3 linked regions of the Canis lupus familiaris genome follow. The protein of the gene in region 2 interacts with the protein of the main gene of each other region in a pairwise test. Links are inferred from orthologs where the notes say so. Each region holds a gene or a part of one and is shown on either strand. Other genes may lie near its edges.

Region 1 (3,517 bases), on a different chromosome or scaffold from region 2:
GGGAGGCAGGGACAGCTCTGATCCCTCCCCAACCCCAGGAGAGATTTCTGATCCAGCTGTCACAGCTCTCGGACACTGGGACCGAGGGAGAAGCCAAGAGAGGCAGCAAGACTTGGCAAAGGAGCACCAGAGAAGATAAGGAGGCTGCACGCCAAGGGGGACAGGAAGGAGGGGAAGCCTACTTGAGCCTGCTGCCTGGTGCCCCTGCCCTGCCCCTCCATGCAGTTTCCCATGGGCCCCGCCTGCATCTTCCTGAGGAAAGGCATCGCTGAGAAACAGCGGGTGAGGTGGCAGACAGTGGGAAAGGGTACGGACAGGGCAAAGGGGGCCAGGGTGTGGGGAGGGAAGGGGCATGACAGGTGCAAGGGGCCGGGATAAGGGGCACAGCCTCAGGGGGACTCCTGACCAAGAAGGTAGAACTCTGGGAGCTCAGTGGGCCAGTGAGGTGAGTGAAGGTAAACTCCGGACTCAGCAGCAAAAGGGAGAAGGGGAGGAGACCTGCAAATAAAAGGGGAACTGGGATGTCCCTGTCCATCACCTCTCATTTCTCTGGACACCTGTAACCATGACGGTGATGACACAACTGCCTCTTACTGAGGCACTGCTATGCACCCAGCCCTACGCAAAGGGCTTTGCTTTCCTGCTGTCATTTCATCCTCAGGACCACATTCACGGTTGGCCACACTTGCGTTCCCATTTTACAGATGTGGAAATGGAGGCTCTGAGTCACAAAGCCCCTTGCCTTCTATAGTTACTGAGTGGCAGGGTCCCATCAAGTCTATTTGATCCAGGGGGCTTACTTTTCATTGTTGGGCTTTAGGATGAGAGAGAGAGAGAGAGAGAGATGGGCCTGAGGGGGGAGGGCATCATGAGAAAGAGAAGCTCAGGGGAAGGCTCCAGGAACAAGGGGGAGGCCAGAGGCTGGTGGAGTCCACAGGTGGTGTGCCTTATACCCAGCCTGACCCTTCAGGTGTGTCTGAGAGCAGTGGTGGCATCAGGGATTGGAAATGCTTAGCTGGTTGAAGAATTGGTCATGCTGGCAGTGAGCATCCTGCCCAGATGCCACCGAACACTGGCTCCCACGCAAACAGCTTCTAACCCTTGGGAGAAAAAATGGGGGGCGGTGGGAAAGGAATCAAGCGGGTGTAGTGGAAAGAATTTTGGCTCAGAATTCAAATCTCAGCCCTCGCTGCACCTGGCCTGCTGCATGACCTCCAGGGAGTGATTTAATGTCTCCCTGCCTTGGGAGCGTCTCTGCCACTTAGAGCTGTGTCCCTTAACCTTAACCTCTCTGTTCCTCAGCTTCCTCTTAAGATGGGAATGCTATGTGGTCCTACCCCCTGGGGTGGATCTGAGGTTTCAGTGAAGTGACTGTGGGCACCGGGCACAGGGTTGGCACTCTGAGCGCATTAGCTGTGATTCTGAGCCTTACTCTCTTGTTCTGAAGAAAGGAGGGGATGGGATGCCAAGACATAGAAGACCCCTTGCTAGCACAATGGGATGGATGTCTCTTCAGGAAAGGCAGAGGGACAGAGATCAAGATCCCGGGATAGGAGAGAGGAAATGGGAAGTGATGAGGAAGAGGGCGGGAAGCACACAGTCAGGGGTGGGAATCAGGAGACGAGAAGGAAGAGGAGGGGAGTTAGAGGAGAACTGGGAACAAGGAGGGGTCGGGGAGGGGTTGTCCAGAGGAGGGAGGGATGTGTTTGGAGAAGTAGATATGGGATCCCTGACCCTCTCAAATTCCCTCTCTCTACATTCCTTTCCAGGAAAGACCCCTGGGACAAGATGAGATCGAAGGTAACCCCTGCCCCAAATGCCACCTCATTGTCATCCGCCACTAGGCTGCTCTCCTGTGCATCTCAGTGTAGACCCTTCCCACGAAAGCTTCACACACCTCTCTCTTCCCATTCAGCCATGATTTTGTAGAACTCTCTCACACAGTCGCTTGGGAGCCTCCCAAAGTGTTCAGAAGGCACACCACACCCATCCCCAAGCGTCTCAGAGACCCAGGAGTGACAGATGCAAGAGTTTTAAGATGAATCCAAGACTGTTGTTTTTTCTTTTGGAGGTTTTGAAGGTCCCTATAACGTCACCCCAGAATCTGGAGGACCGCAGTGCCATCACTCTGCGGTCTCACGGATCATTCCTCTTGCACATTTCAATCTTGCTCATTGCACTCTCTGTCCATGTTTCATACATCACTCCTTTTTTTAAATTTTGGTTTTCAAAGATATCTTCTCCTTTGGAGTCTCTAGTCAGTACCTCCCTGATGGTTTCAAGGGATGGCCAGTCTTCCCCATTGACTGTTTCGAGTCCCCTCAAGGTTCTTCTCTCTTAACTTTCAGAGCTCCGGGAAGCATTTCTTGAGTTTGACAAGGACAGAGATGGGTTCATCTCCTGTAAGGATTTAGGGAATCTCATGAGGACGATGGGTTACATGCCCACGGAGATGGAGTTGACTGAACTGGGCCAGCAAATCCGCATGAACTGTGAGGCTGGGCCGGGGAGGACTGCTGGGAGTGGGTGGGGTGGAAGCAGGAGGGATGTGGAGGCTGAGCCACAGCGAAGGAAGAGGGTAGGCGGCACTAGGAGTCTGGAAGCAAACAGTTCAGCCTGGATTCGGGGAGGCAGCGTCTGAAGTGGATAAAAGGGTGACTCTTGGAGGCAGATCTGGGTCCAAGTCCCACTTCTATCATGTACTGATTGTGGTGCTTTTGAAAAGTGGAGTCAACTTCCACTCCTGAGTCTCATTTTTCCCATCTGTCACTCCTTGTGGGATTGGGATGAAGGAGCTGATGCAGGTCAAGGCTTAGCCTCCAGTAAACGGTTATCAATGTAGGTTAGTACCATGACCACTGAGACGCAAAGGTAGAGGGCAAGCTTGGAACCGTATCTGCCTCTGGAAACAAACTTGGGATGGGTTCCAGAGCTCATTTTGAGAAGGAAGCTGGGACCAAATTACTCTGGGGTTTTGCTCTAAGGCGTGCCACAGAGTAAACAAGGTTGAACCCAAAGACAGGATTGTGTTTCTATCTGGAAGAGGTTTGGCTCCCACTCAATTCATGCTCCCCCTTCTACAGACCAACAGATGAGCAGAGATCTGAACCAATTAAGAGATTTTTCCCAAGGTCACAGGGACAGCTGGTTTCTTTCACCCCATGCATCCGTCCACCCGGGTTCGGATTAGAGGGACCCTGGGCTCCGGGTTGGCTGAGAGGGAAATTTCTCAGATGGCAGAGAGATCAGAGCAGGTCTGCCTCTTAAACCAATCTGGAAGGGTCCAGAGAGGTAGTGAAGGGTTGGTTACATGGACTCTCACTAAACCTGCCTCTTCTGTCCTCAGTGGGTGGCCGTGTAGACTTCGAGGACTTTGTAGAGCTGATGACCCCCAAACTCCTTGAGGAAACAGCGGGGATGATCGGTGTCCAGGAGATGAGAGACGCCTTCAAGGAAGTGAGTTAAGATTTTCATGGTGTTGGGGGTACTTGAAAGAAACACCAGGAGTCTATGATTG
Region 2 (3,517 bases):
GAAGTTGAGAGACGCACACCCTACTGAGCAACCCAGGTGTCCCTATTAACCTAGACTTTTAGCAGTCTGTTAGTCTGGTCGTTTAGGAATGACTTTAGAATCACGTGAACTTTTATAATGATTTATTTTCCTTGCCACAGATTGTGATTCATTAGGTCTGAAATGTGGCTCTAGGTAGTTGGAATAATTTTCCCGTTGGTTTTGGTGCAATCTCAGCTGAGGATTTCTAATCTTATCTAGTGTAATTTTTTAAATTTATAGACTGAGAAAATATTGTGTAATTTCAATAGCTAAACCAAAATCATAGGGCTATTGGTAACAGAGACTAGATTTGTGTGTGTGTGTGTTTTTGTTTTTTTTTTTAATTGGTGTTCAATTTGCCAACATATAGAATAACACCCAGTGTTCATCCCATCAAGTGCCCCCCTCAGTGCCCATCACCCAGTCCCCCCACCCCCTGCCCACCTCCCTTTCTACCACCCCTTGTTTGTTTCCCAGAGTAAGGAGTCTCTCATGTTCTGCAGAGACTAGATTTTTAAAAATTATTTTAAATATGGAATGGACTTATTTGGAGATAAAGTAAAATCTGTGTTCACTTCTTAATTAAATAAGTTTTCTTTTGTAGGTCTCCTTTCTGTGAAGAAATAATCTGTTGCCGTGGAGACCAGGTGCGACTGGCAGTTCGTGTCCGAGTGTTTACTTACCCCGAATCTGCATGTGCTGTTTGGATCATGTTTGCTTGTAAATATCGCTCGGTATTATAGGACTAACATTTCTGTAAGAATCTACCTGTGTTTTATTGGAATTTTACACATTGTACATTATAGCTGTTTAGAGGTTCATTATTTTAAAAATCACATTTTGGCTTGGATGTCATATTTCACTTTTGTATATACCTGATAATAGTTTGAAAAAAATCATGTGTGTATTTAAAAATTAAGGATAAAAAACTTGTAAAGTCTGAGTGGAATTTAGTATAAATTAAGTGTCTATTTTAATAAATGGTACATTGTTTACAGGTATTCAGTAGTTTATGAATAAAATAAAATTTACTCAGTTTTCTTTACATTAACAGGTAATCAGAGAGAGGTTTATTTGTCTAAGGGTTTGAGCCATAAAAAAATCAATATGATCATTATTTTTCATAGATTAATGATTAATGGGATTATTTTATATAAATTAGAAATTAACCTCACAACAGATTTGTTAAATAGGTGAAAATACATTTTGATGAACTATCACTTTTGTGGCTTACCCATTGGCCATAGGGATATTTGTGACTTTCCAGGGATTTATGGGAAGATTCTGATGCAAGAGTAGGAAAAACTGATACCAGAAAAGCATAAATATTAATAAAACAAATCTCACATAAAGATAAATGAATAATTTATAAATACATTAGTTTGATTCATTATATAAAAATGAACTGAGTATTTTAGAAGAAGCTCACCATACCCTTTTGTTACGACACTGATATACTGTTTTCTGTAATTATTATTGGCAGTCTGTTGCTGATTCTTGGTAGTCAGAGGATTCATTACTGGCCTCTTTATGGATTCCATCTTATGAAATCACATTTGTTTTTCTTTTTTCCTTTTTTTTTTTTTCATTGTGATAAAAACACCAGAGTATATGCAATTACTCTAAATTGGAGAATCATTATGTGAGGCCCCTGAAAAATGAGCATATGTGAGAGACTCCATGCTGATACTTGCTTTAAAACTGAGCAAGTTTTAGAAGTTAGTTTTAAAACTGAGCATCAAAAAAGCAGTAGTAGTTTGACTTTTTGTAAGAAGCTGCATGACATAATTGATAGATTGGATTGCCCATTTAGCATCTGTGCATAGATCTTGATTCAGTTGCTTCATCTATTGGTCTTTTTAAGAAAGCACTGTGGGGGGATGCCTGGGTGGTTCAGTGGTTGAATGTCTGCCTTGGGCTCAGGGCCTGACCCCGGGGGTCCCAGGATAGAGTCCCACATTGGGCTCCCTGCATGGAGCCTGCTTCTCCCTCTGCCTCTCTCTCTCTCTCTCTCTCTCTCTCTCTGTGTCTCTCATGAATAAGTAAATAAAATCTTAAAAAAAAAAAAAAGCAGCACTTTCTCTAAAAAGAGGGGCACTTGGATGGCTCAGTTGGTTAAGTGTCTGACTCTTAATCTCCTTGATCTCAGAGTTGTGAGTCTGATCCCCACATTGAGCTCCACGCTGGGCATGGAACCAACTTAAAAAAAAACAAAAAAAGCCAACAGTGTGTACCAGTTGGCTATGCAAATTACTCTTTTCATCACTTAATTGTAAATAAAATGATTTAATGTTTTTTTAAAAATGAAAATCTAGAGATACCCTAAAATTTACCTTTTGTTTATTTTTACATATGATGAATATTTATGATTTAACTTATTTTTAAAAATCTGAAAATATCCCTCTACTTTCAATTTTCATTGAAAACAGTAATCAGATATTCTTGTGAGACTGACATACCTTTAGAGAATTAGCAAAATAAGAATTGAGACTTTTTTACTTTGTTACCAGAATTATTCATAAGGTATCAATAGGGAAAATTGCTTATAATTTTCAGCTTTTGGAACAAATTATTTATGGGGCACTAAAGGCAGACATGTTAAGATTAAGGCTATGTTATCTTTGAGGCTGGGTGGACCAGAAAAACACATGTATATTCATAATGCATCTTTGGTATAAATTCTAAAATAAATTTTCTATTTATGCACTTTAATAGACTCCAACATGAATAATTTTCTGTAAAGGTGGTTTATTTCAAAAGATTCTTTTAGTGATTTTATCATTAGAATTCTTATTACTAATGTTTCTTTTTAAAAATTGAATTTGCATTGTCTGTTTAGCTGTCATAAAAGTTGTTTTCCTATTAAAAATGTAAAATAATTTTTATATGTCTTTATTCTTTTTGACAATATGTACACTAATACAGTCCTCTATACATTTATATGTGTGTGTATATAATATATAGGTGTATTTATTTAGTAGAAGATTATCAGAAACCTAGAAACTTCATTACTCAAGCATGAGCCTGTTGAATAAAACTTACTAAATTTAGTTCCAACTAAGTGAACACTCCAAATGCCTTGGAACTTTTTTCTACTATTGAGGTGTACATTTTTTGATATGATCTGCAAAAACACCTGAAACCTAGCAGTTCTGGAAAATACATATTTGAAACCCACTTTTCTACTTCTTAACAAAGACAAGATTTGGGGGATCCCTGGGTGGCACAGCGGTTTGGCGCCTGCCTTTGGCCCAGGGCGTGATCCTGGAGACCTGGGATCGAATCCCACGTCGGGCTCCCGGTGCATGGAGCCTGCTTCTCCCTCTGCATGTGTCTCTGCCTCTCTCTCTCTCTCTGTCTGTGTGTGTGACTATCATAAATAAATAAAAAATTTTAAAAAGTGGAAAAAAGACAAGATTTGAACCAAATGAAAAGTAGGCTTTATATTTGAAAAACTTGCTATTAAAGTAGTATTCTGTGCTATATAACTGACCAT
Region 3 (3,517 bases), on a different chromosome or scaffold from region 2:
GTGACTCGCATATCCTGGTCTAAAGGGTTCCAATAAGTGGTTACTAGAAGACCCTGCTATTTGATCTCTAGCCGATGCGATGCAAGATGCCCTCTCTCACCCAGAAGTGGGGTACCTTCTCTTATAGTCAAGAACCCTGTGCTAGGGTGGGATGCTCAGGACTCCTTTCTACCTGACAACTCTCTCTAAAGCCCTGGAGTGCTGAAAGGCAGGTAGGCACTGGGGCCCACATGTAGGGCTCAAAGAGAGATCCTGTTTCCTTTTCCTCAGGGCAGCAGGGACCAAGATCCCGAACATTCATTCCACTATCAGCCTGAGGTGGACTGTCACTCTGCCTTGAGTGTCCTGAGGATTCCCTGGCAGGAAGCAGTCATACCTGAAATCACCCCCACCCGCAGCCATCTGGCTCAACTCTGCCCCCTGCAACCCCTTACAGTCCATGGCCATGCCCACGGCGATGCACTTCTTGAAGCGACAGAGCTGGCACTGGTTGCGGGTGATCTTGTCGATGACACAGCAGCTGTCATATTTGCAGGAGTAGGTGGGATGGAGGTTCTTCTGGATTGTGCGGCGAAAGAAGCCCTGGGGTGGAGGGAGATGAAGCATGGAGTGATCGTGATTTCCCCTTCCCTAACCAACCATGCAGTCCACTGGGGTGTGGGGGGATTAGTGAGGGAGCCTGGCATCCTCCTGACACCAGCAAGCCCAAGATCACTTGGCTGGGTCAAAGGACCATAGAAACATGTGCCCTCAGCTCCTAGGCTGCTGAGGGGCAGGGGCAAGTGGGTAGTGGTGGTGGCAGGGGTAGGGATGAGGACCACAGTACAGAGACATGAGCCTGGGATGGTGTCAGGTGCTATGACGCCTGAAGGAAGAGCAGCTTTGGAAGTCCAACTGATATCTCATTTTCCATCTTGCTAACCAACTCTGAAAATAAAACTGACCTCCCCAAACCGTTCCTATACATGGTGCCTGCTGCTCATGCAGGTGGAATTCTTGAAATGGGGCAGGGGGTAAAAAAAAAAAAAAATCAAGAAAATGCACTGTGTATGTGGACCCTACCAGCTTTAAAAGAAAATGTTTAATTCTATATATAGGGTTTCATCTTTGCTTTAAAGGAAAAACCTGGGCAGCTCGGGTGGTTCAGTGGTTTAGTGCCGCCTTCAGCCCAGGGTGTGATCCTGGACACCTGGGATCAAGTCCCATGTCGGGCGTCCTGCATGGAGCCTGCTTCTCCCTCTGCCTGTGTCTCTGCCTCTCTCTCTCTCTCTCTCTCTCTCTCTCTCTGTGTGTGTCTTTCATGAATAAATAAAATTTAAAAAAAATAAAGGAAAAACCTCAAGAATCAAGATGGCAGTAATAATACCAAGAATTAACATGTGCTGAATGCTATGAGGCACTTAAAAGCATTTTTTTGTTTATTTTTTAAAGCATTTGTGGGGTTTTTTGTTTTGTTTTGCTTTGTTTTTTGGTGCATCATCATATTTGATGCTGTGTCAACCCCATGAGGTAGGAACCCATTTTGAGACTAGGAATCTGAAGTTTGGAGAGAGTAAGCAATCTGCCCAAAGTAATACTGGCTAGATGGGCAGGAGAGCCAGAACTGGACCTGACGTATGGGACACAAGGTCCGAGTTCACAGATTCTGCAGTGCATTGAAATCATCTAATGCACTTATGAAAAAATACCAATTCCTGGGTCTCACTCTAGACTTACATCAGACTCTCTTGGGGTAGGGCCAAGGCATTTCTGTCTTTCTGGGATGCTCCTCTAGGACTTTGCTGTCCTTGAGGGTGAGGATCCTTGCTCTATGTTACGCTATTTGTATTGCTTCCATGAACAATGCTACAGGATGCTAAACCCCGGGTGCTCTTGGCTTGGTTGATACTAAGAAAGAGAGAAACTGGAAGCCTTAACATATTTTTAAATACTTTTGTTTCTTGGAAGGTCTTACATTTTCACGAGGTGATGATCCTGGAAAACCCTAGCAGGTTAAAATGAGCAAAGTGAGATCTAATTAAGGCTCCCCAAGTCTATGACCTTGTCCCGTCTGCCCAGGGACACTCTGTCATCTTCTCCCACTCTGGGCCCCACCATGCCCCGACCCCCAACACTGGTTCTCAACCTTCTAGATGCAGGGGAAGCAACCAGGGAACCAGTTTCAAGGCAGAGTCCACGAGGCTTCACCACAAAGAGGTCTGACTGAGTGGGGCTGGAATGGGACCTGGGGCTCTGCACTGAACCCATGAACCACATTTTGAAAAATGATGTTTGTTTCTAGTGTACCTCTCTTGGGTAGGCCATGAGCAGCCCAAGGGCAGGGCACATATTACATCCCTCATAGCTGATACACCAAATGGATGGACAATAGCTGGGATTTTTATTGAGCACTTCTTATGTGCTTGGCACTGTTATTAAATACTCTCCATGACTTAGCTCATTTAATTCTCCCAACAGCTCTCTGAAGTAGTAGGTAGGACGGTTATGCTCATTTTATAGATGAAGAAATTGAGGCCCAGAGAAATTAGGCATCTTACATATGAGTGGCAGAGCAGAGATTGTGCATGAACAAATGAATGAGAGAGAGCAATGGTGGAGCAACAGGTGGGCTTTAGGTGACATGTTCATAGGGCTGGCCTTGCCAGGTGCTGAGGGCCTTAAGGTGGGTGAGATGGGGGCTCAGGTGGCAGGGGAGGGGCAGGAGCTGGCTGGTCCATACCTTGCAGCCCTCACAAGTGATGCAGCGGTAGTGATAACCGGTTGCCTTGTCCCCACACACGACACACTGCTCGTCTTTGTCCAGGTAACTAGGGATATACCCTGGGAGGGAGGAAGGGAGGCAGGCAGGCAGGCATGGCTTGGGCCCCCAGCAGAGAGGCTCCTACACTTTCTTCTTCCCCCAACTTTTTCCTTCCTGGCCCATCCCCTAGCCCAGCCTCCTTGAAGGGTTTTGTGTCCAGGTAGAATCCTGGAGACACGTCAGAGGTCATCTTGTCCATCCCCTTCCCTAAGAATATGGAGAATCCCAGTTCTTCCGACTGCCCAGTTGGGGATTTTCTCTTGCTGCATCTGAGGGGCAGGGAGGGGGAATGCAGGAGAAGCACATGTCAGCAGCTAATCTCTGGAAAATATAGTCCCTTGGCTCCTTAGCCCAGACTCTGATTCCAGGGTGCAGGGGGGTAGGGCTCAGGCAAGGGGGTTGCCGGAGAAGGGAAGAGGCCCTTCTTGACCTAATCCATCCTCAAAGGCCGGGGCATGCCCTCTTCACCCCTCTAACCTTCAGACAAGTCGGTCCCAAGCCCTCTAGGAAGCTCTCCCCAAGGGACACAGGAGCTGCTGGTCCATGCTCAGGCCCCGAAAGAGCCCTGGCCTGGTTTAGTGGGGTTGTGGGTGGGGAGGAAAGGCACACACAGCCTGGCTCACCTGACATGCTGGTTTTCAGGGAACATTGGCCGTTCTTTCTTTTTCGCTTTCCATCTGGTGACCTGGCACTGGATGGGGGCAAAGTGGGCAGAAT

The links.
Region 1: the proteins of CEP76 (region 2) and CABP5 interact in binary tests that used the Homo sapiens proteins (3 or more experiments, as listed by UniProt). The link is inferred for Canis lupus familiaris from reciprocal best matches to the Homo sapiens genes CEP76 and CABP5.
Region 3: the proteins of CEP76 (region 2) and THRA interact in binary tests that used the Homo sapiens proteins (3 or more experiments, as listed by UniProt). The two-hybrid records come from large-scale screens. The link is inferred for Canis lupus familiaris from reciprocal best matches to the Homo sapiens genes CEP76 and THRA.

Annotation. Positions count from the first base shown.
Region 1 is NC_049222.1:108,853,876-108,857,392, forward strand, and holds part of CABP5 (calcium-binding protein 5), read left to right. Parts: 5' UTR 1-219; coding exon 220-282; intron 283-1,769; coding exon 1,770-1,800; intron 1,801-2,348; coding exon 2,349-2,492; intron 2,493-3,346; coding exon 3,347-3,456; intron 3,457-3,517. UniProt on the Homo sapiens protein: Inhibits calcium-dependent inactivation of L-type calcium channel and shifts voltage dependence of activation to more depolarized membrane potentials. Involved in the transmission of light signals.
Region 2 is NC_049228.1:78,159,685-78,163,201, reverse strand, and holds part of CEP76 (centrosomal protein of 76 kDa), read left to right. Parts: intron 1-625; coding exon 626-764; 3' UTR 765-777; exon of another isoform or gene 778-1,079; intron 1,080-3,517. UniProt on the Homo sapiens protein: Centrosomal protein involved in regulation of centriole duplication. Required to limit centriole duplication to once per cell cycle by preventing centriole reduplication.
Region 3 is NC_049230.1:22,426,284-22,429,800, forward strand, and holds part of THRA (thyroid hormone receptor alpha), read right to left. Parts: intron 3,492-3,517; coding exon 3,424-3,491; intron 2,821-3,423; coding exon 2,720-2,820; intron 583-2,719; coding exon 435-582; intron 1-434.